Linked DNA regions of Oryctolagus cuniculus. The protein of the gene in region 1 purifies or fractionates together with the protein of each later gene. This does not show direct contact. Links are inferred from orthologs where the notes say so. Each region holds a gene or a part of one and is shown in the gene's direction. Other genes may lie near its edges.

Region 1 (3,805 bases):
GCCGCTGACTCCCACCAGGGCCTCCGAGAGCTCAGAACGCTGTGCGCCCTCTTCCCCAGCCTGCACCGCGCGCCCGACTCCTCTGGCTCTTCTCCCAGGCCTCTCTCTGCCCCACCCGGGCTGGGCCGCCTCCGACTCCCCAGCGTGCCCTAATGCATCGATTCTCGCCCTCCCCGCGGCTCCACGCCCTCGCCTGGAGGGCTCCCTTTCTCGACACGAGAGTCACGGGCCATTTTATAAAGCAAATCGGTTCTCTGATTTCTCAACTCTCCCACAGCTCCTTTCTTACTCAAAGTCAAACCCAAGTCCTCTCAGAGCTCGAAAGCCCTGCATGGCCTCCGCCTTCCCCACGCCTCCTCTCCTCCTGTTCTCCCTTTTGCTCACAAACTCACCAGGCAAACTCCTGCCCCAGGGCCTTTGCACTTGCCACTCCCTCGGTCTGGCCCTCCCACAGGCACACCTCCCGACAGCGTCATCTTCACTCCAGGCCTCTGCCGTGCTACCCTCCCCTCCACAGCACGCGCCTTGTAGCTGGGAGAGGCAGTGGTTCCTGCCTGTTAGACTACAAACTTGTTCACCGCTCTAGTGATGTATTCCCAAGTGCTTGACGTCAGTCCCCACACTCCCAGGCTCTCACACCTTCGCAGTCCTCACATCTCAGCGGGAGGGGCACTGTGGGGTCAGCCTGTTCCGGTGCCATGGCCCCTGCGCTGCTCCTCGGGGGGCAGCCGTCCCAGACGCAGCCCACGTGCTGTGGGGCTGCTGGCGCGACACCTGCTTACCCAGCACTCTCGGCTCCACCAGGGGAGGCGTGGCTGTCATAGCTGACCAGGGTGGCCTGCGTAGCAGGTGGGTTAGCGCCCGCTTGTGGAAGGAGGGAGGGAGGTCGGAGAGAGGGGCTGAATGGGGCCTGGGCCTCCTGGATGCCTGAGGCTTCCTGGCCTTGACGTCCTCCGTGGCCTTGGTGCCAGTCTGGATGATGACGGTGATGACGACAGGGGTGAGGAGGAGGAGGGCGCTCATGGGGATGGCGATGGTGTCTGGGCGGCAGGCTGGGCGGCAGGCTGGGTGGCAGCAGACGGCGTGGGAGTCCAGGAGCCTTGCCCACTGAGCCCCGCCCACTGAGCCCGCACTCAACCCGGTGGCCCCTCCTCCAGGGTACAGGGCGGAGGTGACCGTCAGCCAGGTGTACGTGGGCAGCCTGCGGGTGCTCAACCGCCACTTCTCCCAGGACCTCGCCCGCAGGGAGTCCAGCGCCTTCCGCAGCGAAACCACCAAGGCCCAGAACATGGTAGGGAAGGGGCGCGCGCAGGGCTGGGCGTGGTCAGTGGGGCCCCCTGGGGGAGGCGGGGCACTCACTGGGGCCACATGGCACAGGGACGGGAAAGCGAGTGGACCTGCGTCCAAGGCACTTGCATTAGACTCTGCCGGTGTCACTCCCGAGGGCGGAGCTTGGCTCTGCTGGGGGCCCCGCGTGCCTCGTGACACAGCCACCGCCTGTGCCAGGGCCCCGTCCAGCAAGGCGGCCTGGAGAGCTGCGCAGGGTGGGTCAGTACCCCGCTCTGAGGGTGCTGTGCACCGTGTCCTGGCTGCAGGCTTGGAAGCAGACACGGTGGCCAGGGTTTCCAGGCAGTTCCAGGAGGCTCCCGGATGTGCCGCCTCGTAGCTGTACAGGGGCAAAGCCTCCCCCGAGCCGGGCTCCCTATCACCGTGGCCCGGCCGTGCCTGGGGCGGTCAGGGGTGGGTGCAGGGGGGCCCTGTGGCCCGGGGGGCTGCTCAGAGTGGAAGAAGGGCTTCTGATAGGGGGAGAGAGGCCGTCGGCCTTCGGGGGTGAGGATGGAGGTGGGGGAGGGGAAGGTGCCCCTGGTTCGGGCTCTGACCACTGGTGACCTGGCTGGCCTTTCCCCTGGGGCTCCCCAGGGTGCACCCCAAGGTGGGGGGGGCTGGTGCCGCCACAGAGGGTCACGGGGCTCTGGTCTTCCTCTGGCAGCTCAAGGCACTCATCACCAGCACGCGGCTGGGCGCCTACTACAACTCCAGCTCTGTCTACTCCTTTGGGTACGTTGTCCCCAGGCAACAGCTGGCCCCTGCCAGGACCTCAGATCAGCCCTGGGAGGGGACCTGTCTCATTTTCCAAGGGCGCGGGCAAGAGACCTGGCTGCAGCCGGTGACCTCCCTCCATCGGGCTTGGTCTTCTCATCTGTGTAATGGGCACAGCACTGTGGCAGGGTTTACCCTGGGTGACGACCACAGCGGGCTGGTTAGGGGCCCGGCATGCACTGGGAGGGGGGCATTGAGAGCATGGGGCCCAGCGTTTTGCCGCCTAGGTTAGCCTCACAGCCGTGCCTCAACTTCCCCCTGTAAAATGGGGGTGGCGAGAGCAGCTCCCGCGGAGGCTGCTGGGGGGAGGCTTTCCCGCGAGGGAGATCAGCGCCCGCGGGCCCCTCACTGCCGCCTGCCTTAGGGAGGGACCCCTCACCTGCTTCTTCTGGTTCATTCTGCAAATCCCGGAGCGCCGCCGGCCCACGCTGAGCCCCGAGGTGGTGCGGGCGCTGCTGGTGGAGGAGCTGCTGTCGGCGGCCAATGACTCGGCGCCCGCTCCCTACAGGGCGGAGTACGAGGTGGACCCCGAGGGGCTGGTGATCCTGGGTCAGTACCGGGGCAGGGGCCCGCTCCCCGCGGGGGCGGGAGGGAGGGGTGGGGCGCGGGGCGCGTGCCCAGGCCCGGCAGCTCTGGCGGTCTCCTCCGTTTTCGTTCGTGTGTGTGGCCTGTTCTTTGTGCATTTATTTTGCCCTTGTTGATTTCTTTGTCCGTTTCCTTTTGACAGAGGCCAGTGTGAAAGACGTAGTAGCGCTGAATTCCACGCTGGGTACGCGCCTCGGCTTCCCGCCCGCTTGCCTTTGGCTTTGGCGTCTTTCCTGGCTTGGTTGAGGGTTGGGAGGCCAGGGGGCTCCCTGAGCTGGGGCAGGAGCCCGGCCTGGGGTCACCCAGGGGAGGAAGCAGGGGCTGAGCGAGCGGAGGGGGTGTGGCGCCCGTGTGTGGATGCGCATGTGTGTTCATGTGCTCTCGTGTGGACACATGTGTGCACATGTGTGTGTGTGAGTCTTGCCTGTGTGAGCGCAGGTAGCAGGTTCCATCACAGGTGAACCTAAATCTGCTTTTCCACCGTCGAATCCAACTTGCCTGCAGGCCACCGATAGTCTCCCCAACGGGCAGCCCGTCAGCCACTCTGGGTTTCAGACTTGGTCTTTCAGAGGTGCACTTGGGTCACCTGCAAGGTTGCTCACTTCCCGCCCAATGCCGTGTTGCTATGGTCACTTTGCTCTCGTCCGAGAGACCTCAGTGTCTTCCTGCGAAACACCGGCAGGGCCACCCTGCTGTCCACGTCGCAGTCCATGCGGCCCGAGGAGTTGTGCAGTGCACCACCTGGGCTGCTGTACCTGACAGCCCTAAGCACAAGCCCCCAAACCCTCAGATTCCTCCCCGCGCTTGGGAGTTCTGTGGGGGGCTGTGGCACAGGTGAGCACCTCCAGCCCATCCCAGGGGGGCGCCTGCACCCTGCTTCTGCCTTCTCTGACCTCCCTCTTCCTGGCGCTGCTGTCGCATGCTTGCTTCCTGGGGGAGTGCAGGCAGTGAGGTCAGAGTACAACGAACAAGAAGTCAAATCGTGACTCAGACAGGGACAGTGAGTAGGATTAACTCACTAATGAGGGGACCGGGGGGAACGATAAAGAAACAAGAAATTCTTCTGTCTGTGTGCCTATCTGTCTATCCATCTACCCATCCATCCACCCTCCATCTGCCC
Region 2 (3,905 bases), on another chromosome or scaffold:
TGTAAAGAGCATGGGTATAAGGGCCGGTGCTGTGGCATAGCAGGTAAAGCCACCACCTGCAGTGCCAGCATCCCATATGGGGGGCCGGTTCGAGTCCTGGCTGCTCCACTCCTGATCCAGCTCTCTGCTGTGGCCTGGGAAAGCAGTAGAAGATGGCCTGGAGACCCAGAGGAAGCTCCTGGCTCCTGGCTGCAGATCAGTGCAGCTCGGGCTATTGTGACCCTCTGGGGAATGAACCAGCGGATGGAAGATCTTTCTCTCTCGCTCGCTCGCTCACTCTGCCTCTCTTTGTAACTCTGCTTTTCAAATAAATAAATCAATCTTTAAAAAAAAAAAAAAAGAACATGGGTATAGATGCCGTAGTGATACTATTTGGAATCAGTCCTTGTGCTAATTTCCTTTGGCAGATGTTAAGAGGATGAATGGTTGGGAGTCTGGTCTAGTGGTTAAAATGCCCGCATTCCATACCAGAGTGCCTGGGTTTGGCACTCAGCTCTGCTCCTGGAAGCAGCAGGCGATGGCTCAGGTGACTCAGTTACTGCCGCCCACATGGGAGACCTGGATTGGGTTCCCTGCCTCAAGCCTTGGCCCCAGTCAGCGTTGTTGAGACAGTAGGAGAGTGAACTAGTGGATGACAACTCTCCATATCTCTGCCTCACAGATAAATACAAAGGCATTTACACTTTTTTTTTAAGATGGTGATCCCAGATATTCCTATGGCTGTCAAAACATGACATGGTTAAATTCCATGCTCGCGAGTCTTAGAGGCTCACAAGATTATGTTGCTCCACGAAAGCACATTTCAGGATCTCCTTTTCTCTCAGTTTATCTAATTGCTCCTCTCCTATGACCTCCATTCCTTCTCTTCCTCTTTGCCTTTGTTAGCTTCTCTCCCAGCAACTCAGGAGCTTGCATTGCTGTGTGCCCATGAGGGAGAGGGAGGAGGAACTTCTGTGCAAACGAAGGTATGGAAAACAGAGGAGGTAGGGACAGACAGCTGCAAGGATCCAAGCTGAGGAGACTGAACAAACCCTCACCCAAAACAACTCAAAGCTCAGATTTCTTCTCTGGACAGCTGGCTTTGCCAGTCCTCCTGGAACACTCCGCAAAGGTGGGGGCGGGGCTGTGACCCACCTCCGCTATGGCTCTTCCTTAGTCAGAGACCTTCCAGATACTCTATGTGGAAACTACATGTAATGTTCAAAAGAGCACGGATGAGGGAAGTAAGTGAGAGGTATCCGATTGCACACCACAATACTTAAAGGTCAAGAGCTCATTGCTGAGAACGCCAAAGGGCTGCCTGGAGTAGACAGCGACCATAGAGTGACCTGAGAAGCACTGGATATGTGACTTTGCTGTCATATTTCTCCCACTCTCCCCACTTGGCACCCAATACTTCATATTCTCTCTAATCTTTCTACCCTCCCCACTCCCACACCCTACCCCCACCAATGTTCCTGGAATTTTGGACTTAGCTATTTTTAAAACAGTCAACTCAGTAGCCACCTCCCTCCCCCGCTCAGCTGTCCAATGCTCCCGCCAGCCACATACTCCCCTTTTCCCCACACCAAGCCTTCCCTGGCTTCCTGACCTCAGGGAGATTGCAGCCGACCTGGGGAGCTGGGGGAGACATGGAGAAAGAGACGGGGGACCCCCTGGCTGGAGCAGACTGACAGAGTAGGCAGCCATGGCTGGAGAATTGGATATCAGAGTAATGTTTGACCTCTGGAAACAGTAAGTTAAAACGCAATTGCAATTCCTTTCATAAGCTCTTGGATTGAAGTTAGACTTTTATGAAATTACAGACACTGCCTTGGATGTCTCTGGTCCAAAAGCTAGGATCTCTCTATACCAAGGTGCTCCAATCTCCATTTCTTTCAGTCTCACTTCTTTCTAGCATCTAACCTCTGGCCATTTGAAGTTTAATCCTCTGTCTGTGTCTGGCAGTCTTTGCCTTGTTACCCCAGGACTTGTAATGCAGTCTTTGGAGGAGTTGCCCACCCCCCTATTCTGTAGTTTTCTCATTGTGGCCAAATTTGACCTAGATGATTAGTCACTGACATGCCTGCACCCTGTCCCTACTTAGCAATGCCCTTCACATTGGACTTCCAAGGGTGGAAGCTATCCCTTGTCTTATATATGACGTCTGCCCACAACTCTGCTCCCTCCAACCTACTCTTTTCCCAAATCGTTTCATTAGTCCAAAAGAGAGAAGTTTGGTACGAGAGAGCTGGCCCTTCCCTAACCCCTGTCCTCAGCAAAAGACTGAGAACTTCAAATTTGCAAAGGGGAGATTAGTGAAAAGAGTGGTTCTTCAGTTAGGTTTGGGAAAATAGCAACTGTTGACTCAGAAAAAGCAAACATTGATTGGCATGCCTGGTTTTGCATCCTGTTATTCTAAGACAGGGGGATTAGGACTGCAGCTCCCCTGAGTGGATGAGAGATTGATTCTGTTCTCATTGGAATACAGAGGTTCTAGAAGGCAAGGGTATCCTCCCTGTGCTCCTTCTTGTCTTTCTGACACCAAAGGGGAAAAGAAATGGACGACTCCCGGAGGGCGGCCCCTTCTAGTGGGGAGAGACGCTTCAGGGGCGTGTTGCTACAGGATTTCTAGAACCGAAATCTGCAGGGGAACACCCCTCCACCCCCAGCCCCACCCCGGGGGAGCTGAGAACTGATCTGCCTCCACAAGTCCTCCATTTTTGACAGAGCTGCTGTTTGGTAGTGCTAGATGGGGCAATATGTGGACTCTGCCCCCTTGAGGTCACTCAACCTTCCCTCCACCCCCACCTGGGGGTATTGCACAAGGGACCTGGAAGTGACCATAGGAGCAGAGCTCATCTGCCACACTTATAGTTTGGGGAGCCCCATTCTCTCCAAAACCCGACTGCTCATCCTTTCCTTGATCTCCCCAGATTCTCTTCACAGCATCCTGACCAATCCTCAACTCTTCTCTTTCTCCATGCCCAGCCAAATTTCTCTTTTTTTCAGTCACTTACAGGACAGCCGGTCAAAATTCACTAGGTAGGAGGGCCATCAGCTGGGAAGAATCGGGGCTGGGGGCACCTGGCTGTATAGGTATGGGGGATCCAGGCCAGTTCCGTAGTCCCCGGCCCCACCACGGCAGTCCCCCAACTCTAAGCACTCTCACTCTTCTGCTGCTCCTCTGTGGACATGGTAAGGAACGGCCAGGGAAGGGCTTGGGAGACCCCAGGGGTGGGCCTGTGAGCCTGTGTGCCTGAGGCAGAACGGCTGCGGGCAGTACCAGGCACCCGCCCTACTCTCAGGGACATTTCATGTCCCACTGGACTTGGGGAAGGGCCCTGGGAAGAGCTTGGTGGACAGAGGAGACCATGTGGGCTCACACACTTTAATAAGACTGAGGGAGGACAGGACCAGGGGGCGGAGGGGGAGAGCAGGGGCTTGGCTAGGTTTTAGGAACGACTGGAATCTCCTGATGAGATTTGGAAGTTAGGAGGAGACTCTTCGAGCAGGGATGTGGGAACCGCCTCACAATCTGCTCCCTTCCGTCCTCAGCTCATTCGCAATGCAAGATCCTCCGCTGCAATGCTGAGTATGTATCGTCCACCCTGAGCCTTAGAAGTGGGGGTTCGCCAGGAGGGCTTCGAGGGGGCGGCGGCAGCGGCGGCCGAGCAGGAGGAGCCGGCTCCGGCGGCCTCTGTCGGGCGCTGCGCTCCTACGCGCTCTGCACTCGGCGCACGGCCCGCACCTGCCGCGGAGATCTTGCCTTCCACTCCGCCGTGCACGGCATCGAGGATCTCATGATTCAGCATAACTGCTCCCGCCAGGGCCCTACGGCTCCTCCCCCGCCCCGCGGCCCTGCCCTTCCAGGAGCAGGTCCTGGCCCCCCAACCCCAGACCCCTGCGACTACGAAGGCCAGTTT

The links.
Region 2: the proteins of TMPRSS6 (region 1) and HJV purify together in Homo sapiens (co-immunoprecipitation; 3 studies listed by IntAct). This does not show direct contact. The link is inferred for Oryctolagus cuniculus from reciprocal best matches to the Homo sapiens genes TMPRSS6 and HJV.

What each region holds. Positions count from the first base shown.
Region 1 is NC_091442.1:114,169,270-114,173,074, reverse strand, and holds part of TMPRSS6 (transmembrane protease serine 6), read left to right. Parts: intron 1-1,157; coding exon 1,158-1,291; intron 1,292-1,990; coding exon 1,991-2,058; intron 2,059-2,464; coding exon 2,465-2,649; intron 2,650-2,827; coding exon 2,828-2,869; intron 2,870-3,805. UniProt on the Homo sapiens protein: Membrane-bound serine protease. Through the cleavage of cell surface hemojuvelin (HJV), a regulator of the expression of the iron absorption-regulating hormone hepicidin/HAMP, plays a role in iron homeostasis.
Region 2 is NC_091438.1:48,868,672-48,872,576, forward strand, and holds the start of HJV (hemojuvelin), read left to right. Parts: upstream 1-1,488; 5' UTR 1,489-1,734; intron 1,735-2,991; 5' UTR 2,992-3,080; coding exon 3,081-3,177; intron 3,178-3,537; coding exon 3,538-3,905. UniProt on the Homo sapiens protein: Acts as a bone morphogenetic protein (BMP) coreceptor. Through enhancement of BMP signaling regulates hepcidin (HAMP) expression and regulates iron homeostasis.